Linked DNA regions of Notamacropus eugenii. The protein of the gene in region 3 purifies or fractionates together with the protein of the main gene of each other region. This does not show direct contact. Links are inferred from orthologs where the notes say so. Each region holds a gene or a part of one and is shown on either strand. Other genes may lie near its edges. The genes, in order: ANAPC2, ANAPC13, CDC27 and ANAPC7.

What was found.
Region 1: the proteins of CDC27 (region 3) and ANAPC2 purify together in Homo sapiens (affinity purification with western blotting; 20 studies listed by BioGRID and IntAct, with this or other methods). This does not show direct contact. The link is inferred for Notamacropus eugenii from reciprocal best matches to the Homo sapiens genes CDC27 and ANAPC2.
Region 2: the proteins of CDC27 (region 3) and ANAPC13 purify together in Homo sapiens (affinity purification with mass spectrometry; 5 studies listed by BioGRID and IntAct, counting the BioPlex papers as one, with this or other methods). This does not show direct contact. The link is inferred for Notamacropus eugenii from reciprocal best matches to the Homo sapiens genes CDC27 and ANAPC13.
Region 4: the proteins of CDC27 (region 3) and ANAPC7 purify together in Homo sapiens (affinity purification with western blotting; 23 studies listed by BioGRID and IntAct, with this or other methods). This does not show direct contact. The link is inferred for Notamacropus eugenii from reciprocal best matches to the Homo sapiens genes CDC27 and ANAPC7.

The regions. Positions count from the first base shown.
Region 1 is NC_092872.1:494,224,759-494,231,857, forward strand, and holds the start of ANAPC2 (anaphase-promoting complex subunit 2), read left to right. Parts: upstream 1-4,084; 5' UTR 4,085-4,178; coding exon 4,179-4,295; intron 4,296-4,658; coding exon 4,659-5,287; intron 5,288-7,099. Other genes in the region: microtubule nucleation factor SSNA1, read right to left, coding at 1,970-2,028, 2,339-2,432, 3,528-3,727, 3,873-3,924. UniProt on the Homo sapiens protein: Together with the RING-H2 protein ANAPC11, constitutes the catalytic component of the anaphase promoting complex/cyclosome (APC/C), a cell cycle-regulated E3 ubiquitin ligase that controls progression through mitosis and the G1 phase of the cell cycle.
Region 2 is NC_092876.1:333,963,353-333,970,498, forward strand, and holds the start of ANAPC13 (anaphase-promoting complex subunit 13), read left to right. Parts: upstream 1-4,137; 5' UTR 4,138-4,236; exon of another isoform or gene 4,237-4,421; intron 4,422-5,282; 5' UTR 5,283-5,316; coding exon 5,317-5,415; intron 5,416-7,146. Other genes in the region: CEP63 (centrosomal protein of 63 kDa), read right to left, coding at 3,973-3,977. UniProt on the Homo sapiens protein: Component of the anaphase promoting complex/cyclosome (APC/C), a cell cycle-regulated E3 ubiquitin ligase that controls progression through mitosis and the G1 phase of the cell cycle.
Region 3 is NC_092873.1:346,411,489-346,418,421, forward strand, and holds the start of CDC27 (cell division cycle protein 27 homolog), read left to right. Parts: upstream 1-3,924; 5' UTR 3,925-3,990; coding exon 3,991-4,017; intron 4,018-6,933. UniProt on the Homo sapiens protein: Component of the anaphase promoting complex/cyclosome (APC/C), a cell cycle-regulated E3 ubiquitin ligase that controls progression through mitosis and the G1 phase of the cell cycle.
Region 4 is NC_092875.1:35,969,728-35,976,623, reverse strand, and holds the start of ANAPC7 (anaphase-promoting complex subunit 7), read right to left. Parts: upstream 3,014-6,896; 5' UTR 2,750-3,013; intron 2,664-2,749; 5' UTR 2,467-2,663; coding exon 2,366-2,466; exon of another isoform or gene 2,343-2,365; intron 1,926-2,342; exon of another isoform or gene 1,825-1,925; intron 1-1,824. UniProt on the Homo sapiens protein: Component of the anaphase promoting complex/cyclosome (APC/C), a cell cycle-regulated E3 ubiquitin ligase that controls progression through mitosis and the G1 phase of the cell cycle.

The DNA.
Region 1 (7,099 bases), on a different chromosome or scaffold from region 3:
TTGCTGGAAGAAGACCATGCCATCAGAGAAATAATGGCATGGCTTGCACTTGACTTTGTTTTGAGTGAGGGAGGGTTGTGCAGGTCATCAGCCTCACTTCTCCTTCAGAGCTGTCTGAATCCAGTGACCAGATATTCATCAGGATGACTGGAGATGACCCAGGATGAGGCAAATGGGGTTGACTTGCCCAAGGTCACATAGCTAGTGAGTGTCAAGTGTCTGAGGTGAGATTTGAACTCAGGCCCTCCTGACTCGTTTTGTATCCATTACACCACCTAGTTGCCTTGGAAAATATTTAAATCCTGAAAGCCCTTCTAATACTCACACTGCCAATGGCTGGCACTAAAAGTTGATTAACAGCCCAGGAAGTGATAAAACACATTTCAGCACTGATTAATGCCCCAGTGACATAATTCAGAAGAGTGATCTGTTGGGAACTACCTTGGATATTTCCCTCTCATCTCGTTAAGGCACAAGAGAGCAGATGACAATGTCACACAGTACCTCAGTTGACCAAGCTTTGGCTGTTACAAATTAATTTTCAAGTACTCATTATGGTCTGTAAACCTGTAGGTTCTACTTCTTGCTTAGGTGTGAACTGGAAAGGTAAGGCAGTGAGTTAGGAAGTCGATTCCTAACCTAAAGAGGATTATGAAGATGAAGGCAGTTCCCAGTTATTAGCAACAAATTCCTAAATGAAGATACAGCTGGAATTGGGAAAGTAAAACAAGGCGATAAGTCTGTGTTCTCTTAGGCTTACTCTTGCTTAGAAGGGTTAAAAATGAGTCTATACTACTCATTAGATCTAAGACACACTAATGTCATTAGTCTAATAGTTTTTCCATAAACAAATTCCCATCAAGACACATTCCATCTTGTTTGAATTTAATTTGATGGGGAAGCCATTGTTAATCTCGATGGTGACAGTGTCAAAATGACCTTCAAAGAAGATGATGAATTTTATTACTTTTTTGTGGAAGTTAGGATAAGCAGGAATAGGAGAAAAAAAGATTGCATTATTTCATTTCAACAGACATTTATTTAGTGCTAACTATATGTAAGATACTATTCTGGGCCCTGGAAAAATGGCTAACACCCCCCAATTTCTCCCTCAAAGAACTTACACATGTACTCAAGTAACTCAATGCAAATTGTGTATGAAATAATATAATTTCAATGGGAATGTGCTAACATGCCAAGATATCAGAAAAAGTCTCTTTTAAGAGGCAACACATGAGCTGTGTTGTACAGGAAGACAAGGACTCTAAGAGAAAGAGGTATGAAGATGTGGGGGAACCACTTGTGCAAATACAGAGGTAGAAAGAACAAGCTAACAGGTCAATTTGAATGGAATAGTGGACATACAAGGAGAACAATATGAAAAGAGATTGAATAATCAAAGACCAAGATAGGATACAGACTTGCTATATAATCATACAAGGCCTTCCTTGCCCTTACTAGGCATTTAATGAACATTAGAAAAAACTGAGAGTGTAGTCCTTTATTCCTCTGGGGCCTCTGCTCATTTCCATGTAGGGAAAGGTCCTGGTCCCTTGGTCAAGTGGCCAAACCAGGTCCTGTTAGCCTCATCTTGTGCCTGTATCTCTAGCTCTTCATACATACTCTTTACTCACCAACTTCCATGGTGGAGTGGGGGTGGGGTAAGAAGCCATCTGGGCAAAGACTATTAACAATGAACAAAGGCTTCTGGTTCTTGGTTTAAAAAAAAAATTCTCCCCCCACAACACAGACAGCAGGCTCAGAGATGAAAATCATAAGGAAAACTTTATTCACACATAAAACTGCAATATATTGACTACATGTATACATTAAGGTTCATGTCCCTAGTTAGGGTTTTTGGCCACTCATCCCCACAATTACTGGCTTTGTCTGGCCACCTGCTTTGAAGGAAGCATGGGGCCTGGGAATAAATATCCTGAAGGCTGATCCAGGACAGCAGTGACAACTCTCAGGCAAAATTGCCTCTCGTCCTCTCTCTGTTTTCCTCTTCCCCATGATTCCTTCTGCCTGGAAGGCAATGAAACGTGCAGAGCATTACTAACCCCTACCCCAAGTGGCTGGGCTGTTGTAATTACCCCTTTTCTTTAGGACATGTTAGATGAAACACCCAGAGAACAGTGAATACCCATGAGGTACTGGGGAGCTAAGTTGTTCTCACATGCCTGAAATAGCAAGAGAAGGGAAATGCTGCAGCTATGAAAAACAAAGATACTTTATTAACAGATTCCCTCTCAAGGAAGACACCTGCAGACCTACAAAAGGGAGTGTAAGGCAAGCCCCAGGCTTTAGCCCATGGTCCCAGTTCAGCTGTCCTTGCCCATAGTATTCTTCTGGTCCTGGGCTGCGGCCTTGCTTAGATTCCCTGCTTCTCGCTTCAAGACGTTGAGTAGCGTCTGAGAACTTTCCAGAATCTGTGACCAGAAAAAAATGAAACAGTTTAAGCTTGCACATCTTGGAAAGATGCAGCTTTTTGGGTACTAAGGGGCCCTCTCTCTCCATCACTACTTACCTTTTATTGTACTCTCTACATATTGTATATATGCTCCTTCATCTTCAAATAAGTCAAGGATCTGGACTGTGCCATTTTTATATTTGTAAGACCATAGTTTGAGTTGTGAGGGACCTAAGAGATCATCTAGTCCAACTCCCTCATTTTACATTTAAGGAAACTGAGGCCCAGGGAAATTAAGGGACTTGTTCAATGTAGCAAGTAGTAGAAGTAGAACATTGAACTACACCCTCCACCTTCAAATGCAATTCTCTTTCCATCACACCTGGTGTCTCCTGGTACCTCTAGTTCAGCTTGCAGCCTCAAGGCCACATATGGTGCTCTAGGTCCTCAAGTGCGGCCCTCTGAACTGAATCCCAAACTCTAAGGGGATTTGTTCTGTAAAGTTTGGAGTCAGAGGGCCATACTTGAGGACCTAGAGAGATGAAGGTTTCCCACTCCTGCTCGTGTCTAGCATAGCACCTAGTACACAGTGTTGGCTTGGGGGGGGGTGGGGCAGCACAAGAAGGATAAAGGTGCGGACTTCATTTGGGGTGGGGAATGTCTGGCAGCTCTACCCTTAAAAAATTGAAAATTCAGATCTCTGGTGGGCACTCTCGATGGACTTGTTGACGTTGGGGTCCAGTGCTCTCATTTTAACGATAAGGCCCCTGAACCTGGGGGAGGTTAAGCGAGTTGCCCAGGGTCCCACAACCAGTTAAATGTCTGAGGTAGGCTTGGACTCCATGACTTCAGGGCTGCAAATCCAGCCTTCTGTCTGCTCTCTGGAACAAACCACCCTGCGTTCGCAAGGCTACACCTCCCCTCTGCCGACCCCGAGGTGTTTAGCACCAACACATGGATTTGGAGCACCGCCTCATCTCGGGGAGGGGTGCCCAGTGAGCTTGGGGTCTCCACGGGTTAAGTACCCTCCTGAGCGGCGGGAATGGGGGCTGGGGGGGGGGGGCAGGGTCCGGCTCCGGCGCGCCGGCCCACCTGCCCCCGGGGGGAGGCCCACCTTGAGGTAAGCGGCCTCGGTCTCGGCAATGGTGCGGTCAAACTCGTTCCGGGAGGCGATCTTCCGGGCCAGGTTCTCGTTGACCCGTGCCAGCTTCTCCGTCAGCTGCCGCACTTCGCCCTGGAGCCGCTGCTTCTCATCCTCCTCCTGCTGGATCTGCCGGCACAGCTCCTCCCGCTTCTGGCACAGCTCCTCGATGCCTGGGGGAGGCGAGAGAGGCTGGTGGGGGCCCGGGCGGGGAGCGGGGGCGGGGTTCGGGGCCGCACAGGGGGGGAGGGGCGGGGGGTGGCTCGGGGGGCCGGGATGGCTCGGGGTCGGGGTTCCGCCGCCGCCTGCGGCCCTCACACTTGACCAGCTCGTTGTTGTAGTTCTGAAGCGCCGCTCCCTGCTGGCTCATCCTCCCCGCGCTCCCGCCACCGGCAGCCTCCTACTCCAGCTCCAACCGCCTCTACCGCATCACTGCGCCTGCTCGGATACCGCTCTCCCGCCCTCCTTTGCGCGCCAATGGGCCCGTGAGCTCATCAGGTCGCGCCGCGTCGGCTCAGGGGAGTCATTGCGTGACGTCTGACGTCACCACGACGCGCGCCAGGGCTGACATCCGAGCCGCTGCGGCTGCGGGAGCCGGAGCGGGGTCTGGGCCTGTCAGCGCAAATGGCGACGGTGGCGGCCATGGTAGAGGGTGCAGCCTGCGGGGCCCCGGGGGCGGAGCTGTCAGTGGCCTGGAGTACCGTGAGCACCGGGCTGGTGCCGCCCGCCGCCCTGGGGCTGGTGAGGGCCACACTCCGGCGGGCGGGCTCGTCCCTCCCGGCGCATCTCCGCCTCCTCTCGGCCGCATCCTTGCCCTCGGCCCCTTCTCTTCCTTCAGCCCCGCCCCCGCCCCGCTCAGCCCCCTGTCCTCATGCCCATCTCCCTCTCCGCTCCTCCTGCCCCTCATCCCCACTCAGCCCCACGCCTCCTCTCAGACCCCAACTGGTCTCTCAGGCTCCAGCTCTTATTTTTCGTCCGCTCTCCTCCTGTCCTGACTCTTCTCCCTCCTCTGGCTGACCTTTAGAGCTGCTTTCCTCCTTGTTTTAGAGATGCTCTGTTTCTGACCCCTCTTGGTCCACTTCTTACGAGTTCTGTGCTCTTTAGGCAGCTTCCAGGCCACCCGGAGCAGTGAGTTTGAAAGAAGAGGAGCTTCAGGCTGCTGTGGAGGTGCTGAAGTGCTATGAGCTGCACTCGATCCTGGAGGAGTGGTTCACCGAGGTGCTTCAGACTGACCTGCAGTCCAACATCGCCCCCGAGTTTTGGAATGCCATTGCTCAATATGAGAACACCGCGGAAGAGCCCCAGTGCGTCCTGCTCCTCCTGGAAGCCTTTGGCTTGCTCAAGTGTCGACTGGACCCCTACCTCAACAGCTTGGATTTACTGGAGAAGTGGACGCAGATGGGCTTGTTGCTGGGGACTGGCTCTCAGGGTCTGCGGGAAAAAGTCTATACTATGTTTAGAGCCATCTTGTTCTTCTCCACCACGAAAACCTTTCAGGAGATGATCCAGCAGTTCTATGCGCGTACCTTTAAAATCTACATGCATCAGCAGAAGAAAAAGAAAGTGGATGAAGGAATGAGCGAAAGTGGCATGAGTGAGCCAGAGTTGGACCAAGGTGACTTGGAAGACAGTGGGTCTCCAGAGGGCCAGGAGTGTGCCGGCTGCAACAGTGCTAAGGAGCTGTGCTGGTGCTCAGTGGCTCTGGAACAATTCCAGCAGCTTAGTGAGATACTGTAAGTGACTGCTACTTGTAACTTTTGTGGCGTTGGGCATATCTCTCTGCTTCTTTTGGTTTCGGGGATCTCCTCTGTAAAATAAAGGAATCAGATTTAATTATCTCTCAGGTTCCATCTAGCTCCATATCTTATTAACCTATAAAAAAGTGTCCCCTAGCCTAGTCACTTTCCCTGGGATCAGGCAGGGTTTAACAAAGCTGTAGTAGAGGAAACCTTTTAATTCTGGGTAGTGGAAGAGGATCTTAGGACATCTAAATAACCTATTTCCCTCACTCCTAATTGCAGGGAATGTCAGAGTGTGTGAGGTGCTATATCATTAGCAGAAAATAGTGTTTATTTGTTGGAATAATGAATTCACACCTTTAGGCATTGATTATCATGTTTTCATCTCTTCACCCATTCCTAGACTTTAGTTATACTCAGTGGAGAGTAAGTCAGAAAAGAGATTTGTCTTGTGTTCCCCATCATTGCATAGCTTCCAGGTGAATGATTCATGACTGCTTATTAACAGCACTGTAGATATAATACATATTATGGTTAGGGGTTGGACTAGATGACCCTTGAGGTTCCCTGTTTTGTATTCTGGAGCAGATTAGCTCATGGCTTTTTTTTTATGTCCAAAATTACTAGCATTCTCTAGAAGTACTTAAGGACCATCAAAGAGTTTGAGGGAAAGAATTTTGCTTTTCAGCAATATGTTAAGAGATGTTTTGCTAAAATGACTAAGATTTCTGGTTTGACGTTTGGGGTTCCCATTGATTTTCATGGATTAGATTTTATTTTGATGTAATCCAAATGGTTATCCCAGTTCTTTTGTACTGGAATTTTGTATATTCAAAAATTCTTTAAATAAATGTGCCCCAGAGTAAACTTTGAAGTTTTTTGGTTTACAGATTTTTACTATAGTGATACTAGTTATGCCCAAAATGAGTCTTTAAGTATGGTTCTCTGAGGGACCCCCTTTTGAACCACACAAGGTAGGAAGGGCAGGATACACACACACACAAAGTATGTGGTTAATTGTTTTTAAGGATGCATTTGTCATTACAGTTTAGATCTACATTAAAAATCACAAAAGTTAATCATTTTTAAGTTACCACAGTAGTGTCCATTTACCCAGGCAGAATTTTTACAAATTTTTTCAGTGGCAAAAAAGAGCAAGTGGGATAGTTGTCTTATCCAGAAGTACCTTTGCATCCATTGGAGCCATGTTTACTTGTCTGTTGGCTGATCTGTGTGGACACCTGCTGGTCAGACCTGTGCTACTTCACCAGTTAGAGCTAAGAAATTTTGTAATCTTGGCAGATTTTCCAATCCTTTATTGCCCTTGAGGGCAAGTCCCTCAGCAGAAGTAGATCACCTCTTCTGTGCCTCTATCTCTACTTTTAGCAACTCCTGACCTACTATTTGCCTAGGAACTCCCACTGTAGTGGTCTTCTTGGACTTTGCCCCTAGGATCTTCCATTCAACAAAATTTGAGCTCTTTTTCAATTAATGCTCTCAGAGTTCCATTCTTTGGGGGTACTGAGGAACTATGGGAACTTTGTTTCCCAGATTCAACTTTTCCAGATTCAACATTTATTTTAACAGTGAGCTTTCTATAAATAATGTGATATACACTTAAGTGGTGTATCTAATGGTATGAATTTTTTATTGGAGGATGAAGGTGGCTTAAATATTTTGGGATGGGGAGAAAACTCTTACAGCATAGAGGGGCTAGCGACTTAATCTTTCTGGATTTAGGTTCAGGTCCTGTTTGAGGACCATAACTCCTTATTTGTGGTTTCATACTTTGTACCTTCTGAATCG
Region 2 (7,146 bases), on a different chromosome or scaffold from region 3:
AATGTTGAGTGAAGTGAGTGGAAGCAGGAAAACAAATGACAACAATACAGTAAAGACAAACAACTTTGAAAGAGTGAGTCTCTGATCAGTATAATGACCACCATAATCCCAGAGGATTAATAATGAAACATTGTGGGGGGAGCGGTGCACACACGTGGGCACATGTGTAGGAAATGGCCAATGTGGAAATTTGTTTTGCTTGACTATACATGTTTGTAACAAGTTTTATTTTTCTTCTGTTCTTAATGGTAAGGGATGGAAGGAAAAGGGAGAAAAGTCAGACTTTTGTGGACTGAAAAAATATAATTTTGAAAAAGAGGGGAAAAGTTCTGGTAGTCCGGGAGGAAAAGGGAGGGGTATTAAGAATTAGGAGGGAAATAAAGCAAAATAAACTCAAAGGATGTACAAAAATATTTCTGGTTCTTTTTGAAGTGGCAAAGAATGAAAACCTGAGGGGATATCCATGAACTGGGGAATGACTGAACAATTTATGTAAAGAATGGCCTATTTTATTTATTACATGGCACCTAATCTGTGCTTTGAAGGAAGCTAGAGATTCTATGTGGCATAGAAAAAAGAATGGAGTATATTCCAAACATCAAGGTAGGCATGGAAGAAGGAATACAACTAAATAACCCTTCATGTGATACTTTATTTTTTTCTTTTCAAAAGAACTATATAAAATTAAGAATTGTTTGCACAAGGCACAGTATAAATTCTAAAACCTAAGATCACACAGCTAGGGTGAAATAGAGTTTAAAGTTCTATCTGACTACAAGCTGCTTCCTGAATAAAGCTTATTTATGTACTACCAGAATTAGGTACTAGTTATAATCTACAGCTATCAACCACATTTAACAAAGTAGAAAAGTGATATTCAAAATAGTTGAATGAGTTGCTCAAAGTTACACAGCTAGTGTCAGAGGTGAGATTCAAAACCAGATATTATTGCCTCCAAGTATAACACTTTATCCACACTGCCTCTATGGCAAACAGTAAAATGACCAAAATGTAAGGAGGTTAAAGAAACAAAAGAAATGATTAATGAAAAAGCAATTCTTTTGAATTCAGGCACAATACTGACCTGATGAGGTCACTATAATCCAAGTTAACAAAGCATAATGCCTTAATTTACTTATAATTTTCATACATGCAGATGTAACAATTTGGTATCAACTTAATACCTATGCCATTGTACCTTCTCAAACATTCAGACAAACCCAAATTCTGTAGAGCACTTAGCATCATCACTAATTTGGATAAATTTTGATTATTTGGTACTGTAATTTAACATTTAAAATGAGTGTGTGCAAGGTCTTATACAGATACAGGTATTTCTACTCTAACAGACCACTTTTAATAAAGAAAAAAAATACTTTCACTAAATTTTCCCATTGTCAATGGGGGAAAGGGAGAAGGAGGAAGGGGTTAAACTTCAAAGTTATTTCAGGCAACTGAAAATTACTGCAGGAGTTAATAAACTTTTTTGTGTCATAGATTCCTTTGGCAATCTGGTGAAAACTATAGACTCCAATGGTTCACCAGCTATGTCTCACCAGTGCCCACAGACAGGAAAGACTACAAGCCCTTGAAATCCACAGTAATTTCAAAGTAGTGGTGGGCATACATAACATTCCAAAGTATCTGCAATGACTATAACATGGCATAAAAATATTTGTGATTTCTACCAGTGATAAAGTCACAAGTACTATTAATGATGCTGTGGTTTATTACCTACATGTGTAATTGACAGAAAACCTAAATTTCAATTATAGGTTGCTTAGTAAAAATTTTTTTAAAAATTTCCCATTCAAGTTCCTGGACTCTCCCAAATCTAACCATGAAATCCTTCATGTTAAGGACCTCTATTCCTTATATAACTGAAAATGTTCACAACATCACTAGAACTAGGAAAAACATGGGATGAGGTGTCATCTTTTTAAAAAGCAATAAACAAAAGTTGCTATAAAAATGACTAGGTTTTTCTAAAGAAATTCTGGGAAATGGGCCATAGGGTTCAGGTTCCTCTGTAAAAGAGATGTGTGTTTGTCCTTTATTGCCGAAGAAGACCATGCCATCAGAGAAATGATGATGACTTTTACTTGACTTTGTTTTGAGTGAGGGAGGGCTGAGGTTAGTCTAGACAGAAGGTGGGAAACCTCTGGCCTCAAACCACTCCTGGTCTAGATAAATACCCATGGTAAAAGGATCTTGGAAAGGATCTGATCAACAATCTCATAATAAAGTATTTATAGAGAGGTCAAGTAGCTTGATGTACTATCCTCTTTAGGAAGAAATCCTCACTTTAACTGAGGTCTCCCAGGATTCTGAACAGAAAGGGTTAATAGACCCTTCAGGCACCACAACTGCAAAATGCTGTTTTTGTTCCTCCTTCCTTTTCAAAGAGGGCTAGTCAGCCTCACTCTCTCTTCCAGAACGATTGAAGTTCAGTGGAGAAACAAAAATCAGTAGATTGATGGAAGGCTGCAGTGGATGACCTTGGCTTCTTTGATGTCTGACCAACCACTAAGCACTCCACAGCCCTTGCATGGCTCTTGGAACAAAATGTTCTGATCTGCTTGGGGAAGTCTATCCATGCGTGAGGTAGACATCCCTCCCCGCAACTTAATGAAGGGCTCCAGGGCAGTGGGTTACTCTAAACTTGGCTTAGTGGGTTGTGACCACAGCACATGCTACAACTTCTTGGAGCCACAGGTGACAGTTGGATGACAGCCCTCACACCAGGAGTATTCATCCTCCCTAGACACCACATACATCCTTATTAATCAGAGGGGGTACCTTCCCTAAACTTCTCAAATCATGCTGGAAAGGACCTTAGAGGTTCTAGAGTCATGGGATCATTTCATAGAGAGAGAAAGAACTTCTGAGGCTAGCTGGTCTAATGCATCCCCATCCCTCACCCCCTTCATTTTACACATGAGGAAACTGAAGACCAATTAAATCAGATGACTTGTCAATTCAACAAACATTTATTAAGCACCTACTGTGTGCCAAGTCACTGGGCTAAGCAATGGGGATACAAGAAAAAGGCTAGGCAGGGCCAGTCTTCACGTATCTTACAACTAATAGGGGAGACAAGGCCAAGCAAAGGGATACAAAGTATCTAGGTATCCTCCGAGATGAATGCCTCCATTTTGCACGGGGAAGTGGCTTGCCCACAGCGACAGGTCCAAGTGGAAGCAAATTGATGACCCTGTAGAACGGCGGGCTAGGGAAATCTGAGGCTTGCCCAGCTGATGGGTTTTTTTAATACCTCCAGCGCCTGGCACGGTGCCCTCACTTAGTAAGTGCTTTAACGTCTGAACTGAACTGAACCCCGGACCTAGGTCCATTGGCCTCTCGGGGGCCAGCGGGGGAGGAGAGGGAGGGGGAGGAGGATAATCTCGGCCTAAGTCGCTCTAGCACAAGGCGCACTCGGACTGCTTTTGAATCGCCCGCCGGGGACACGTGGCCCCCATCACCGCCGCCTCCTCTAGAGGGGAGGTGGAGGAACCCACTTCAAGCATGGCCCGAGGCGGGCTAACGAACGAACCCCAGCCGCCAGCACTCGCCCTCGGACCCGAGGAAGGCGAGCGGGCACCTGACGGCGGGCTTGGCCGACGCGCCCTGCGGAGCCATGGGCCGCACTCAGCGCGCAGCCAGGCGAAAAGCACGCCGGGAAGAAGCGCGCAGTCGCTACCCCGCGCCTGCGGACTAAGGAGCAGCGCGTCGACGCCGTTCAGCGGCCTCAGCCCCGCGGCCACGCAGGCCGTGCACCCAGCCCCGCCAGGCGTCCGCAGCAGCGGCAGCGTCCGCCCCCGCCCCTTTCTCGTTCTCCCGCCGTTACCTTTCCCGGCCGCGCGCGCCGCCGCCGACGTTTCTGCACCGCCTCCTCGCTCGCCCACTCGTCCTCCCTCCGCCCCCTCCCCACTTTAAAAAAAAATTTTTCCCCCCTTAATGAATTGAACCAACCTCATCCTCCCCACTTTCCTAAGGTAATCGAGTTGACTCAGCCTAGTACTGTCATTCGCTGGGCCTAAACGGTGGGAGGGGAAGGGTTTTACGAATCACGTGACTCCGGCGAATTGGCTGGCGGAGGAGCAGATTGGCGCGGCGGTTGAAGGCGGAAGAGCGCTGGAGCGGAGGTTCCCCCAACACGCCTGCGCGATGATCGCCGGAGAAACGAGCGCGAGACTCGGAGCATGCGCATGCGCATCCCTTTCACATTCTTTCCAGGTCTGCTGGTTTGGTTACATTGTATGCTGCTGCTCTGCAGCTGTACCTCCCCTGTCCCCTTGTGCTCACCCCAGGAGAGTCTCGGCTCTTTTCTTCCACCCTTCTGTCCCCTAAGGAGGATACTGGAGGGCAGTGTCGTTCCCTCCCTCTCCTTTCTCTTCTGGCCTCGCTCGTCCCAAACTGCAGTAAGACGAACGTCTGTGTGTGTGTGTCTGTATGTCTGTGTCTGTGTGTCTGTGTGTCTGTGTGTGTCTCTCTCTTCTGTTACTTGATTTTGTATAGTACTTACAACTATTCATAGTCCCAGGGCTTTTATTAAGCAGTATGTGCCATGCCCTCTGCTAATCTAAAAGTTAGCAGAGTTTGTAAATTTCTGAAAGTTTGTAAAAATCTGCCAAAATCTGCCTATTGTGTGCTGCTTCCTCAGGGGTGATAAAACTGTTTTAAGTCACAGCCTCAGCTCTAAATGAGCTTCTGGTCTAATTGAGGTTTCAGGATAGGAATTCAATAGCCATATAAGATTACAATTCAAACATTTTTTCACTGCTTTCTGCTGGAAGTTCTCAGCCACACAGTCAGGAATACAAAGATGAAAATCAGTGATCCTTATCTATACTTAAGGAGCTTACACTGTATGTGACAATTAAAAAGAACAAATTAATCAGTGATGACTTATAACATGTATTCTGATAAGAGGAATAGTAGATGACAAAAGAGGGCAGCAAGCACTTTGAAGAAAATGAAAAGAATGTGGGATACAAGAATTTAGATAAATGCTAAGAAAAAGTTGAAACATCCATGGTTTCATTGATCTGGGTATAAATACTGAAAATGGATCCTTTTACTTTATTGAAGTAAAATTCTTTTTAAAAAAGAATCAAAAACTTGTCAGCCAGCTGTCATCCATTTATGTTTATTTTGAGCTCAGGCCACGTCCACAGACACAAAACAATTAAAGTACATTTGGACTAATTCAGAAAATTAACTAGTTGTGTGTGTGTGTGTTTAATTCACTCATCACCAAATTTCTGAACTGTAACTTGTAGGCCATAGGTCTAAGAAAATCAAAATCACAAAAGAATGGACAGTGAGGTACAGAGGGATGGAAGAATTCTGGATCTGATTGATGATGCTTGGAGAGAAGATAAGCTGCCCTATGAAGACGTTGCAATACCACTGGTAGGTAACATGCTATGAATAAGGGAATGGGTATACCATTGTAAGTAACAATTAATTAGCAAACCCAGCAAAAGCAGAAAGGAGGAAGGGCACATGACTCACAGTGGGAGCAGTTTATCTGGACCAGAGTTATCAAATATACTTCCCTAGTGGGCCTGAATTAAAATTTAATTAAGAAATGTTCTTAAATAAAAATACAGTAGAACAAAGATAATGTTAATGTGTGGTTTTCTAATCAATATACAGCCACAGGGATCCTTAAGAGTTTAATAGGTCTGTTTCTGTTTGAATTTCACACTGCTGATCTAGGCCTCCTAGTTTTGTGGCCCTCCACCTGAAGCAATGAAAAATAGAGAGGAGGGGATGGATGTAAAATTATTTCTTCCAATCCTTTCAAAGCAAATCAGCCAAGGCATAGAGAGGTTAAGTAATTTGCTTAAGAACATAAAACTAGTTAGTGACAGATCTCCTGAATGTCAGTCTAGTGCTTCTATCAATGTACTATATAGAGATAAGTCAAGAATAATTAAGAGTCAGAACCACTGAAATCAATGGAAAAAATTAAAAAGAGCTAAGAACATACCTTAGAACAACTAAATAATATTCTCTTCTTTCTTTTACTTTCATCTGTCATTCAGTTATTCTCTTTGTAAACCTCCATACTTTGATGCTAGACCTTTCCAAGATTTTCTGAGAGATTTCTATTCTCTTCTCTACACCTACCAAGTTTCTGAAAAAAAGACTTAAACTTCCACGTTTGTAGATGTCCCTGGACTTTTAAGTTTAGTCCTGTGTTTGTTTTTTACTGAGTTAAAATTTAACAAATTACCATAGCACTCTTTATAGGATGGTAAAGATGTTGGGGTAATTCATACTTCAGGTCCAAACTGAGTAATTTCTAAAATTGCTTCCAACTTTTTAAGAGACTGTAATTATATTATTTTTCACTTTAATGAAGGCTTATGATAGATCCTATGTATATCATAAGGACCTACTGAAAGAGAAGAAAATAATTGAAAAGAGGTGGAAGAATATTTTTTCTGTTAAGAGGTGGGGGGATGGTAAGGGGAAATAGTCACAGGTCATATGCAGGTAAAAACAACTTTAGCTATTTTTGAAGGAACTATGCAACGTTCATGTTACCTACTTTTAAAAATCAAGAACGGAAAATATAAAACTATTCAATAACTACAAATAACAAAGAGATATACCTTAAGTTAAGGATCAAAAAAGAAAAGGTAAAATGGACTGAGGACCTAAAAGAAAACATTCAAAAACCCCACTTTGAAATAACATTTTTGCTTAACCCTTGAAATAAAGCAAGGATATCCATTGTGTAGGATAAAGACCTGTATCTATCTCAGAAACTTTCACATATGTACCCAGAATTTGAGAATACTTTTCTTAGGCCAATTCAAGTCAACCCAAGAGCAGATTGGAGCCAGTGAATCAGATATTTTCTACCCATGATTTATTGATATATTTGCTTTACACTTCTTTTGTTGGTGTTAATTTTTTATTTGAGCTAAGTTTGTCTACCTTTATTAGTACATCCAGAATCCATCACATTATAGGTGTGAATTCTTCCACCCCTTTCACCAAAGTAAGTCACAGCTTTTCTATACTATAACTGTCTTTGTAAGTCACTGGGTCTGAAAAAATGTTCCTCATTTGATATCCAACTTTCATGTGATTAACACCTCTGAACTTTAATGGTCTCACTTAACAAAA
Region 3 (6,933 bases):
TAAACCATTTGAATGTATATTACTTCTTCTATTAGACTGGACAAATTTTTGCTTTTTTTGTTGTTTTCTCAGTACTCAGCATGGTAGCCAGCACATAGTCAGTGCTTAATAAATGCTCTTCAATTTACCAATAGATCATGCAGAATGACACCTTCTTATTTATGCCAACTTTACCTTGGGCATGTTATATTAGATAGATGATGGCTCATCCCACCTTAGTTACATGAAAGGCAGCGTGGTACAGTGGAAAGAGACCTGGGTTTGAATCTCAACTTTGATATTGACTAATTGTGTGACCATGAACTAATCATGTCAATTTTCTGAGCCTGAGTTGCTTCATCTACAAAATACCTATAATACTTACCTTATAGGAAAGATATGTGAGGATCAAATGATGTAAGATACTTCGCAAACCTTCCAGTAACTATATGGACATCATTATCTATCTACCTACATATCTATCTACCTGCCTGTTAATCTATCTGCCTTCTGTCTACTGAGAGACAGAGAGTAGCTAGAAGGTAATCTGAGAGGGAAGAGGCACTAGCAACAAGGGGATAAGGAAAGGCTTTCTGCAAGTGCAATGAAATAGAGACAAGAGTGTTGTGTGTGAGAAGCAGAAAAAATTCGAGGAGGCCAATAAGGTATAATAAGACGATTAGAAAGGTCAGAAGAAATCAGATCATAAAGTCAAGTCAATTAGCATTTATTAAGTACATACTACGTGCCAGGCACTGTGCTGAGATTAATTTGGAAGAGTGTTAAATGCCAGACAGAAGACTTTACATTTGATCCTGGAGGTTAACAGGGAACCACTGGAGCTCACTAAGCCAAGAGATGACATGGCCAGATTTGTGCTTTAGAAAAAATCACCCTGGCAACAGAGTAGAGGATATGTTAGAGTAGAGAGAGATCTGAGGCAGGAAGATGGTTATTGCAATAGTTCACAATGCAGAGTAATATGCATGTACAAATGCATTTTACATCCAATTTGCTTTTCCACACAATTTATAATTTATATGCATCTTGTGTTTTACATATAGTCAGTGGATTAGTGGAAGAATCAAACAAGAGGCACCCCCAGAACTTCACAAGATTTTATATCACTATGAGGTTAAAACCCAGAAGAATCAACACCAAATGATTTATAAGGTTAACCATTTATGGAGGAGGTGATTTGTAAAGGGTATCTCCTAGGTCCCCATCAAGGACTGATGCTGTGTGAAAGGAGCAGAACCAGGAGAACATAATACACAGTAACAACCACAATGTGGGAAGAATTTTTCTGGTAGACTTAGCCCATCACAACAAATGCACTCCTTTCACACAGCATCAGTTCATATAAGTCCTTCTAGGCCTCTCTGAAGTCCTCCTGCTCATCATTTCTTATAGCACAATAGTATTCCTTTACATTCATATACCACAAGTTGTTCAGCCGATTGGGGCATCCCCTCAATTTCCAGTTCTTGGCCACAAAGAGAGCTGCTATAAATATTTTGGTAATGTGGGACTCTTTCCCATTTTTATGGTCTCTTTGGGATACAGTCCTAGAAGTGATATTGCTGGGTCAAAGGGTATGCGCATTTTTGGCATACTCTATGGAATGGTTGGATTAGCTGAGCTCCACCAACAGTGAATTAGTGTTCCAACTCTCCCACATCTTCTCCAACATTTATCATCTTCCTGTTCTGTCATATTAGCTGACCTGACAGGTATGACTACATCTCTATCTATAAGAAATATAACTGATGTTCATATAGTATTGAAAGGTTTGCAAAGTGTCTTTCATCATTTGATCCTCACATCTTTCCTATAAGGTAAACATTATAGGCATTTTGCAAATGAAGTATCTCAGGCTCAGACATGACTAGTTCATAGTCACACAATTAGTTAAGTATCAAACTTGAGATTCAAACCCAGGTCTCCATCTACTATACCATGCTGTCTTTCATGTAACTATGGTAAGATAAGCCACGATCTATCTAATGTAACATGCCCAAGGTAAAGCTGTCATAAAAAGAAGGTGTCAATCTGCATAATCTTGATAAATTGATGAACATTTATTAAGCACTGACTATGTGCTGGGTACCATGCAAAGCACTGAGAAAACAACAAAAAAAGCAAAAATTTGTCCATTCTAACGGATGAAGCAATATACATTTAAATACTTTATGTAGCTCTTTAAGGTTTGCAAAATGCTTTTCAAAAATTATCTTATTTAATCCTCACCGTAACTCTGGGAAGTAAGGATTATTATTATCCCTATTTTGGAGTTGAGAAAACTTGGGCAAACAGAGGTTAAATGACTTGCCCAAGCCTGAGTTTAGATTTGGACTCGGCTCTTTCTGACTCCAATGCCAGTGCTCTATGCCACTTATAAGGCTAGGTATAGAGGGAAAGCAATCTTAACAGCAGACAACCTTAGGGTCAGATAGAGGTGGTACTTGAGCTGAGTCTTGAAGGAAGCCAGGGATTCTAAGAGACAGAGTTGAGGTGGGAAGTGCATTCCAGGCACAGAGAGCAAAAAAAAGTAAGAATGTATTAATGCGTTTTCAGGAGGAAGAGCATTCTGATTCCAAAGACTAGAAACTTCTTATTCAAATACATCTCTCCCTAGAACTGAGAAGAACAACTTATCAAGCCACCATAGCTTGAAGGAAATATTCCTTAAGGACACCAACTCATTTTGCTCTCATGCTTATCAAGCAGTGTTCTAATCTGTAATTTGGCCTCTGGAGTAAATAACTGGAGTTACCTTGCCAGATAGCTCTCCCAGTGCAAATTAATAATTTGGTATTCTAGTGGATAAATCTGTCTCTTGTCAGTTTGGTTAGTGTGAATCGATTCCCCTTGGCCTGAAAGCCTAGAGTGAACTTATAAAAAAAGAAAGGAAGCTTTTATGAATTCCTCTACTTTGGGATATCATTTTTCAAATTATTTCCTACTTATTTTTCTACGTAAATGTTTGTTGTATCCTCTTTCCCTTCTTCCTAAGCAAAATGCAAGCTTCTGAAAGGCAGAAATGGTTTTTTCCTTTTGTCTTTATTTTCCCCTTCTCCTAGCACAGTGCCCTGAACACAGTAGGTGCTTAATAAGGTCTTCACTCGGTTTGCGTAGCCCCTCCCCTCCAAAACTAAGCCACAGATTAAGACACATTGTGGGTGTGTAATAAATGGCTTGTTAAATTGAATTAACTGTAAAGGGCCTGACCCAGCTTGTGGAGGCTCCCAAGGCCTAAGCCGTATCTGCACATCCGAGGCGCTTAATAAAGGCTGGTTCAATTCCATTTAAAGGCTTGACGCAAGGATTCCGCCGCACCTGCACATGGTCGCTCCTGTCCAGGTTCCCAGATTCAGGACCGGAAGAGACCTCCGAAGCCGTCTAAGTGAATCCCCTTCTTTTAACCGACGAAGCCGCCGAGGGCCTGGAGCTTAAATAACACGACCAAGGTGGTGCTGGCCACGAGAGGCCCTGGCCCACACTCCCGCTACAGCCCGCGGTTCCGTACGTCCACATGGCGCACTGGGCCTCCGAGGCCCGGGCAGCAAGGATGAGGCGAAAGCACCGAGCTAAAGGGACTACAGCGGGCGGGCGCCGCGACCACGCGGCGAAGCCCACCGCCCGGCGGCTCACGGCCAGCCTGCTTGCAGCTGATTGGCCGAAGAGCGCGCGGGTAACTGAGCTCGAGGGGAGCGTGAGCTTCCTCCGTCTAAGCCAGCCTCGGTTTTCCTTTGGCTAATCTTCTAGCGTTTCCGGCTACGCTCTGCCCCTCCGCCAGCCTTCGTGTTTTTCCGGTCGAACTCGGGCATTTCCGGCTAGCCCTAGCTTCGGCGGTTTCCGTGCTGCACTCGGGTGGACTCGGCAGCCGTTCGGCCTCCCCCATCCCCCGGTAACGGTCGCTGCTGAGTTTAAATGAGCCGGGGCTGGGCCGGGCCGGAGCCGCTACGGGGGGGCCTGAGGCGCGACGGAGAGCGGGCCTGAGCCTTAAGAATGACGGTGCTGCAGGAACCCGTCCAGGTAACGAGGACCTCGCCCCCTTCAGCCCCAGGCGGCGGCGGCGGCGGCGGCGGCGGGGGTGGCGGCGGGGAGGCCACGCTCGGGCCGGGCCGGGCTGCGGCTCGGCTCGGGCAGGGCCTGGCGCGGCCTAGGCCCCGGGACGTTGCTCCTCCTCCTCCTCTGCGGACCGGCCCGGCCCGGCCCTCAGGACGCCGGATCCCGGGCCCACGCCCCCGGGAGCCCCCGGGCGGGGACGGGGTCCCAAGCGCGCCCCCGCCCGCCCCTCCTGTCAGTCCCCGGGGGCGCCTCGTGGACGCCACCGGGGAGGGAGAGAGGGAGCCGGAGTCCTGCAGGCGGGAGGGTCGGCTCGGGTCGGCTCGGGTAGTGTCTGTAGTGGAGGGGGAGGAGGATTGGCACCAGGCTGGCTAGGCGTCCCCCGGGAACCCGCGAGTTTGGGGATGGTTTGCGCTTTTTTTTTTTTTTTTTTTTTGGCGCGGTTGCAGATTTGGGGCAGGGGGGCAGGGAGTGAATGGTGTCTTAAAGGAGAGCTTGGCCTTTGGGTGACTTGGCCTTTCCCCAGCTCCTGTTGCTTTCTGATTTCAGTGTGAATTCACCACTGGACATGTGGCTTAGCCTGGCTGGAATCAGGTATAAGATACAGACACTTGCCTAACAGCCACAGTAGGGCAGGGCAGGGCAGGGTGGGGATGGTATCTATGCCAGGTTTTTCTATCACAGATAATGATGGGATCACGGGGTATTTTTTTCTCTTGCACATACAGAAAGTGGAATTTAAAAAAAAATTCGAATACCTTTCCCATCTTTTTTTAAACCCTTAAATCTTCACTGTCATTACCAAATCAGGTATGTTTTTCATGTTCACTGTTCTTTTGGGATGGAATAGAAGAAATCCTCTTGGATTTTGAGAATACGATGCAGTGCCAAATCATTTTTTGCTATGCTTTCTGAAGGAACTGAGTCCTTTGTGCCTTGGTGATGCACCAGGTTTGGGGGTTGGGGGGGGGGGTTACATTATGTCAAATGAGTTGACCTGTGACGTGGGTTTCTCTATGGTTTTAGAGCTGCTGCTGCTGCTGATGATGATGGTCAGGAAAGACTAGGTAGTATCCTTATGGTTTTGAGAAGTGTTCTGTATTACCATTAATGTACCTGTTAACTACCAACAAATGAATCTAACAGTAAACATTTAAATAATGTCATCCCCATTTATTCATTTCAGAGCCCTTAGTGTTTGAGTCAATGTGATATGGGGCTCTAATTTAGAATTGTAACCATATACAAGATATCCTAGTGCAGTAAGTGAAAATCCAAAAATATTTTCTCATTTGACCAACTAGCATTTCTCTTTTCAATAAATAAGCTTAAATTAAAAGTCCTGCCTTTTGGGGGCCTATAAAAGAATTGATAGCTATCTATGCCCAGTTTCAGTTTAGTGAGTATATGCTTGCTTCTGTTACTTCATTTGCATTTCAGATTCATTTCATCCAAGACATTTTATGCTGATACTGAGTTATAAATTTGCTTCTTCTAGCCTCAAAAGATTTTTTTTAGAACCTGTCTGCCAAGGTTGTAAGGATCAAATGAGATAATATTCGTAAATGCTTAACATACCTCTAGCACATATTAGGTGCTATGTAAATGTTAGCTATTATTTTTTTCCCCTAAAGTGATTGGCTTGTGTCATTACTGAAGTGCCACTATTACTTAATAATTACACAAAGGAGAGGAAATTTGTGATCCAGAACCCTTGGATGATACACACCAATTTTCCTTCCTTTCCATCCAAACCTTCTTATCAATGATGCACTTCAGGCCTTCTTAAGCCTTAGAATCCAGTAGCTTATTAAATTCATATGGTGAAAAAACCCAACATATCACTGCCCTTTACTTCAGAGAGGTCTTTTGTCCAGGTGAGGTTTTTTCTAAGATTTGATCTGTAGAGCAATATGAGTTCACTACCAACCTTTGATTAGGTGGTATGGTCAGGAGCATTGAGCAGACATCTTTGGCTACTGCCAATGAGGATCAGTCAAAATGGGGTGGTGCTAGAGGTTGAGGCAGGGGCTGAGATTGGAATTAGCAGGGAAGAGGAGTTTGTAGTAGCACAGCAGAAAGATAAATACACATATAAAGGTGCTATTTGTAAAGATAGAGGGAGGCATATATGGGAGTTTTGAGTAGTCCACCAAGATTTCTTATGTCATCTCAACTGGCTCTTTACTGCTTTACAGAAACCTTTTATTGGTTCCTGATTAACTTGCTTTCCCATTCCCTACAGTCTCTGTTACAGACCTCTGCTGTCCTCAAGCTAACTTTACCCTCCTGCCCCCAGCAGAGGATCTGACTTTATATGTCACTGAAACAAATGAGCCTACCTATCATGAGCTCCCCTATTCTTCCCATTTCTACTGCACTTCAAGTGCCCAGCATTATCCCTAATTCTGTACTCCTTTGCTCCAGAGGAAGAGGGCCCTCCCCCAAGCTTGGCCCCACAATCATCCCTTTTCTATAATTTTCAAGCTTTCCTCCCTTACCTGCTGGATCTATCCTCACTGTCTTCAAACATGCCTTACTCTTCCCCAACCCTAAAAAAAATATAAAACAACCCAAAACTTTCACTTGATCTTATAATTTTTAAAAAAGCAAAAACTACCAAAACAAATCTTTTCCTTTTTTTAAATTATATTTTCAAGTCATTCATGCTCCACTTTTGCACCACTAAACACCTAGGAAAAGTTGTCTCCACTCATTACTTCTACTTCTCAGCTCCTTGCCGTCTGGCTTCCATTCCTACCACTCAACTGAAATTGCTCTTTACAAAATAATCTCCTAATTACTAAATTTAATGGCCTTTTCTTGGTCCTCACCATTCTTAACCTCTCTGCAGCATCTGACAGCATTGACTATCCTATCCTC
Region 4 (6,896 bases), on a different chromosome or scaffold from region 3:
CCTCCTTCTTGGAAGCTGAGATATAAAGACAAACAAAGAAAACAAGCCTTGCCATTAGGGACCTTACAGGAAATGCAATATGTACTTAGATTAGGAAATACAGGCACTAACAAATGGAAAGATCAGGAAAGGCTGGTGAGGTGGTATCTGAACTGAGCCTTTAAGGAAATTAAAAATTCTGAGAGATGGAGGTGAGAAATGAACCCATTCCATATATGCAGGACAGCCTAGGCAAGGGCAGAGAAAAGGGAGATGGAATGCCAAACTTAGGGAACAGCAATTAAGACAGTTTAATTGGAACAAAAACAATGTTAACGCTGAAAGTGAAATAAACTGAAGGTTGGCTGAGACCAGACTATGGAGAGCTGTAACAGCCAGAGTGAGGAGCATGAGAGATAGAAGGAAACCACAGCAGATCCTAGGGGAGGACATAAGGGATATGCCTTGGGAATACCGTTTAGGCAGCTGAACGGAAGCCAGAACAGAGTGCAGAGACTGGATGCAGGAAGAATCATTAGGAGGCTACTGTAATAAGAATAACAGCAGTCCAAATTCATACAGTGCCTCGCAAATAGGACCTCATTTGAATCTTACAACAACCCTGGGAACTAGATGCTTTTATCTCTATTTTACAAATGAAAAACCAGGGCAGACAGAGAGAGGTCAAATGAACTGCCCAGCATCATACAGCTAGGAAGTGTGTGAGGCTGCATCTGAGCTCAAGTCTTTCTGATTCCTGGACCAGAGCCCTATCCACTTCCCAACCCAGCCACCTCAAAGTATTAGTATTACATTCAACAATTTCTCTCACATGCTGATTGAATTGTTTTTCTTTCTTCTAGTTTAAAGATTATGTTAATAAACTTCAGAATAAGAGTACAGTTTTCAAAAAGAAGTATCCACTAGAACACTCGTTGTTCGAATGCAAAGTGTACACTTGCCAAAAAGACTTTTATGGAGAACTCTCATGGGGCAGGAGATCGCATAGTGATCAGAAGAAAGGATACAAGGGCATTCTGAAGAACTTTGGATTTGACTGTGCAACATGGAGACACTGGCACAGGACCGCTCAGCATGGCGTGCCCATAACAGAAAAGGTGCTGTGCTCTATGAGCAAAGCAGAATTGAGACAGCACAAAGTAAACGCAGGATATCCACCCCAAATATTCACAGGAACTATCTGTGCCCAACCTGTGGTAGAGCATTCCGAGCCTGTTTTGGTCTGATCAGTCACAGTAGGACACACTGAAATGTCACTTTATCATGGTGATGTCATATTGGTCCTCTTTGAAGAGGAAGGAGAACAACCAACCATCCACTAGGTGAATGAACTTAGATTTCTGCAGGACAGAGTTACTTTTAAAAAAAGGTCATGAGAACATTCTGCACCAGCTGGTAATACAATGTCATCTAGGTCACCGTCAACATACGCGCAAGAAAACTCATGAATCTGTACCTTTATGTTAGATTCAGCACTGTTTCCTAATAAGATGAGAAAATATGTTTAACTGCAAAGGAAAAAGCAGTTGCGCTTTCAGACGTAATTTTGCTGCTCGCTTTAATTGTACCTTGTGCTGGCTCTAGGATCACCAGGAGAAAAAAGGAGAGATGTGGAAATTCAAACTATGAAACTTAATAACCAAAGGTTCCAAACTCTTTCCCAAGAGTCTTCTCCAGCCGCCCCGCCCCCGCCCCCAGCCTACTCCAGTATAGACTCCTACCAAGGGGTATAGACTCCTACCAAGGGGTACAGAAGCCCAACCTAGGGCATGCCCTGCCCCACCCGCTATGCCAAGCCCTGGCCCCCACGCCCCAGCCACGCACCTGCCCGGAGCCCCACCTCCAGAGCCAGTTACACCCAAGGACCCGCCCCTTTTCCTAGTCACGCCCCTTTCCAGTGCTCCACCCCCGTTTCAGCTCAGACTACCTGAGAACCCTAACCGCGACCCCGCAAGCCCCGCCCCCAGGCGCGCACGCGCGTCCAAATCCCACCCGCCCACTTCCCAAGGCCCCGCCCTCTCAGGCGCGCGCTCCCTTACCCCGCCTCCTCTCCCCGTCCAGGCTACTCACTGACTCCGCCCCTCTTCCGGCCCAGGTGCGCACTGGCCCCGCCCCCTCACTCTGCCTCCCCTTAATCCCGCCCCTTCAGGCTCCTCCGCCTCTCCCAATTCAGTTGTTTCCCAAGTCCCCGCCCCTTCAGTCGCGCGCCTCTTAACCCCGCCCCCCTCAGCCTCGCTCGCAACTTCTGGCCCGCGCACCCCCTAGCCACACCCCCTCAGGTGCGCGCCCCTGACCCCGCCCCCAGGGGCCCTCCCCACTCCGTTTCCCTCCCCCCACCGGACCTTTCACGCTGGGCCGCACTCACGGGTTGTTGTTGCTCATAGTGAGGAGGAGGCTGCTGAGGAGCCGCACGTTGGAGTGCAGCCCCGCGGCCGCCATGTCCCGCACGTGGTCGATCACGTTCATCTTTGCTTTCGCGGAGGGGCCGCGAGGACCCAGCGGCGGCCGAAGCGGGGACCGGACACCGGCAGGCTCTGGGGGGAGGGGAGGGCAGCGGCGACGAGCGCGGCGAGCGGCACCTCAGCGAAGGCGCCAAAATGGCCGCCGGCCCGGGGTCCTCGTCAGGCCCCCTCGCTGAAACGGGCGGGAGACTAGGACGACGCCTGTGTGAAAAAAAAACCCTCGTTCCTTCTGGGAGTACTATCACAACGTATTATGTATGAGGAAAAAGCAGGTATTTTGCTCCTACCGCGGAAGTTATCGTCATTTTCAGCTCCTTCAAAGGAATACAAATTTCTAAGGGCAAATGAAATCTTTTCATCAGGCGCGCACAAGACAACCCTAACCGTTGGGGCTAACCGCGCTTGCGCGAGTCATTGTGCCACGTGCTTTCCGCTCCATCCTTCTCCGTCCCGCTGCTGTTCTGAGTCCTGGCCGCGGTTGTGAGCCCCCAGCCTCCCACCGAGCACCCAGGCTCCCGTCTGCGTTCCACGGAAGACCCGAGTTCAAATCCGACTTCAGACACTCGCTCGCTGTGTTCCCTTGGGGACGTCACTGTCCGCCTCTGTTGCCTCATTTGTAAAGCCAAGCAGCTAGGTGGCTCCTCGGCTGGAGCCCCGGACTTGGAATCGGGGAGACCAGATTCACCTCTCCTCTCGGATACCGACTAGCTGAGTGACCCTGGACAAGTCCCCTCACCTCCGTTTCTGGAACTAAAATAGGGATGACAGCTTCAGCAATGAATGAGAGGGCTTGGGCTCCATGATCTCAAAGATTTCTTCCAGCTATTCTGTGCTAGAAAGGATCTCAAAAGTATATTTGCAGCCCATTCAAAACACCAGAGAGCCTAGGAATAAATGGAGTTTTCTTTAAAGTGATCAGCAGTATCTATCTAAAAGCATCAGCAAGCATTACAGGTGAGGGGATAAGCTAGAAGCATTCCCGGTAAGTTCAAGAGTGAAAAAAGGATGCCCATTATCAGTTCAAGAGTGAAAAAAGGATGTCCATTATCACCACTATTATTTAATATGTACTAGAAATTTTGGCGTTAGCCATAAGAGAAGAAAAGGAAGTTGAAGGAATTAGAATAGGCAATAAGGAAACAAAATTGTTGCTCTTTGCGGATGATAGGATGGTATACTTAGAGAATCCGCTAAAAAACTACTTGAAAAAAACAACTTTAGCAAAATTGCAAGATTTAAAACACACTCACAAAAATCATCAACATTTGTATTCATTACCAACGAAGCCCAGCGACAGGAGATAGAAAAAAATTCCATTTAAAATAACTGTAGACAATATAAAATGTTCCGGAGTCTACCAGCCAAGACAAAGCCGGGATCGATACAAAAACAATTACAAACACTTTTCCCACAAAGTCAGATCTAAACGACTGGAAAAATGTCAGTTGCTCATAAGTAGGTCAAGCTAATATAATAAAAAATGACAGTTCTACCTAAAATTATATTTGCTTGGAAGATAGCTTATCGGTTCACCTGTTAACAGATATTTCAGTTAAGAGTTTCAGCTTTCCTCTCCGGTCAAAAACCAACCTATCCTTCTAGAGCTAAATTCAGTAACTCCCACTCTTCTAAAAATGGCTCAAGAGGAGAAAGTGAGGCTGGTGACCTTGCACAGCCCTCCCTCAAAATCAAGTGCAAGCCATGTCATTTCTCTGATGTCATGGTCTTCTCCTAAAACGAAGGATGAACACAACCATAACTCTCCTAAAGATCTCCGTGACCATCCCAAGCAGAATGAATGTAGCTGGGGAAAGGACTGAAAAAGTCTGTGGTACAGGAAAATGCCCTGGAGTTAGAAGACCAGTGACTAATTCAACCACTAACTCTTTATCACATCTCCAGTAGAGTATAAGCTACTTAAGGGCGACAACTATTTTACAGTTTGTATTTATATCCCCAGCTCTTGGCACAGGGTCTTGTATTTGCAAAATAAATGCTATTTTCAGGGACTTTCAAGGATTGGAAGAGATCTCCTGACTCTCCAGCTTACTTTCCCACTCCTCCCACCTCCAAAAGTCACTTCACCTCTGTCTGACTCAGTTTCCTCAACTGTAAAATAGGAATAACAGTAGTACCTACCTCATTGTCATTGAGATGTTTGTGAAGTGCTTAGCCCTTAGTAGGCAGTTCATAAATACTTGTTTCCTCTTTCTCTAATTGGTAAATTCTTGCCAGGAATCTCTATTTGGGGAAGTACCCAAATCAACCCTGCTCATTCCTAACCTGCCTCGGCTCCTGGCTCTCCAGACAACTTTTCCATCCAGCCCCTACTAGGGAACATTGCCCCTTCCCAGCTTCTCGGCTCCTTCTTCTGCGTTGTATTCTTAGCATTAGGGTGCATGTTCCTTGAAGACAAGGACCTGTCTTTCTGCTTCTATTTGCATTTCCAGAACTTAGTATATCATATGCACTTAAGTGTTTGGCTCTCCATGGTCATCTGGTCCAACCCATGGATCAATCATCAAACCTCAACTTGAAACTCTCCAGTTGTAATAATGGAAACCCATTGTCTCCCAGGGCAGTTTCACCTTTGGACAGCTCTAGTTTTTAGGAAGTTTTTCCTTACTCTCCAACTTATAATCTTAGAGTAGTTTTGGGGCACTGACCTCACAGTGACTTGCCAATGATCACCCACCCAGAACTCTTTAGAGACAGAACTTGTCCTCAGGTATTCTTGACTCTATCCAATTTTCCACATAGCCTCTTCCCTTCCTCACTTCCCCCTGTGCCTGCATATTCCATGAAACCTGTCATTATCCTCCCATATATCCATTACAGGAGATCTGCCCAATCAACTGCACGTTCTGTTGACATTGTGTGAATATTAAATGGAGCACATGAACTATCATTGGTCATCCTTCAAGCTTCTTTGAATATTCCATCTTTTATTTTTCCCCATGAACATGGGCTTCTTATGACATTGAGCAGAAATCTGCCTTTCTGCAATTTCTATCCAACGCTCCTAGTTCTGGCCTCTGGGGCCAAACAGAACAAGGCTAAGCCTTCTTCCACATGACCATCCTGCAAGTATTTGAGGACAGTTCTCAGGTCCCCACTGAGAAGTCTCTCTTTTCCATTCCTACGTCCATCAAACAATCTTCTTATGATGTCTATAATCCTTTCATGATTCTCTTTTAGACTCACTCCTGATTGTCCATGTACACCCCAAAACGTGGTACCCTATGCTGAACATGACACTCCCTCCAGCCATTGCTTGATGAAGGCAGCTAGGTGGAACAGTGGGCAACATCCCTGGACTTGGAGCCAGGAAGACCTGAGTTCGAATTCTGACTCTGAACCATAAGTGCTGTGTGACGCTAGCCAAATTATTTAGCCTTTCTCAGGGGCCATACTTCATCAGTGAAATGTGGAATAATAAATAATAATAAATGTGGAACGACCACCTAGAGTTGTTGTAGGAATAAAATGAGATCGCATTTGTAAAGCATTTTGCAAGCTTTAAGGAACTATGGAAATACCAGGTAGTATTATCACGCCTCTCAATGCAATCTAAAATTAGATTTGCTTTCTCAGTTTCCAAGTCTCACTGCTGACTTATATTGAGCGTGAAGTCCGCTAAAAACAGCCATTTTCTTTGCATGATCTGTCGTTTAGCCATGCCTCCCCCAAACTAGACTTTTACTGTTGTTTTGTTGAATCTAAGATTCTGACTTTAATGTATTAGGTTTAGCTCACGGTTCTAACCTCTTGAGATCTTTTTGGAAACCTTTGTCATTAGTTTGTTTTCTCTCTGTCCCAGGTTTGTGTCATCTGTAAATCTGATAAACATGGCATCATCCCTAAAATACAGAATTTAAATAGCTTTCACAAAATCACACAGATAGACAGTGTCAGAGCTGGGTCAAGAATTTGAACTATTTGGCATTTGAAGCCTTTTATAAATTGGCCCCTTCCTACCTTTCCAGTTTTTTTGTACCTTATGCCCCTCATCATGTACTCTGAGATCCAGTGACACTGGTCTCCTTGTTCCCTGAACATGACTCTCCATCTCCACACTCCCAGCAATTTCATTGGCTGTCACCCATGCTTAGGATGCTCTCCCTCCTCAATTCTACCTTGAAGTCGTTAAAAATCTCACCTCCTGCAAGAAGACTTTTCCAGTTCTCCTTAACCCTACTTCCTTTGTTCTGAAATTATCTCCTGTGTATATCTTGTCTGAACATAGTTATTTGTATGTTATCTCCCTCAGGAGACTGTGAGCTCCTTGAGAGTAGGAACTGTCTTTTTCCTTTATGTGTATCTCTGACATTTAGCACAATGCCTGGCACATGTTGTTGCTTGTTCTTTGCTTTTGAAGATGACCGGTGATATCCTGGGGTCATGTCTTGACTCCTGAGTGAATTGAATTTAAGT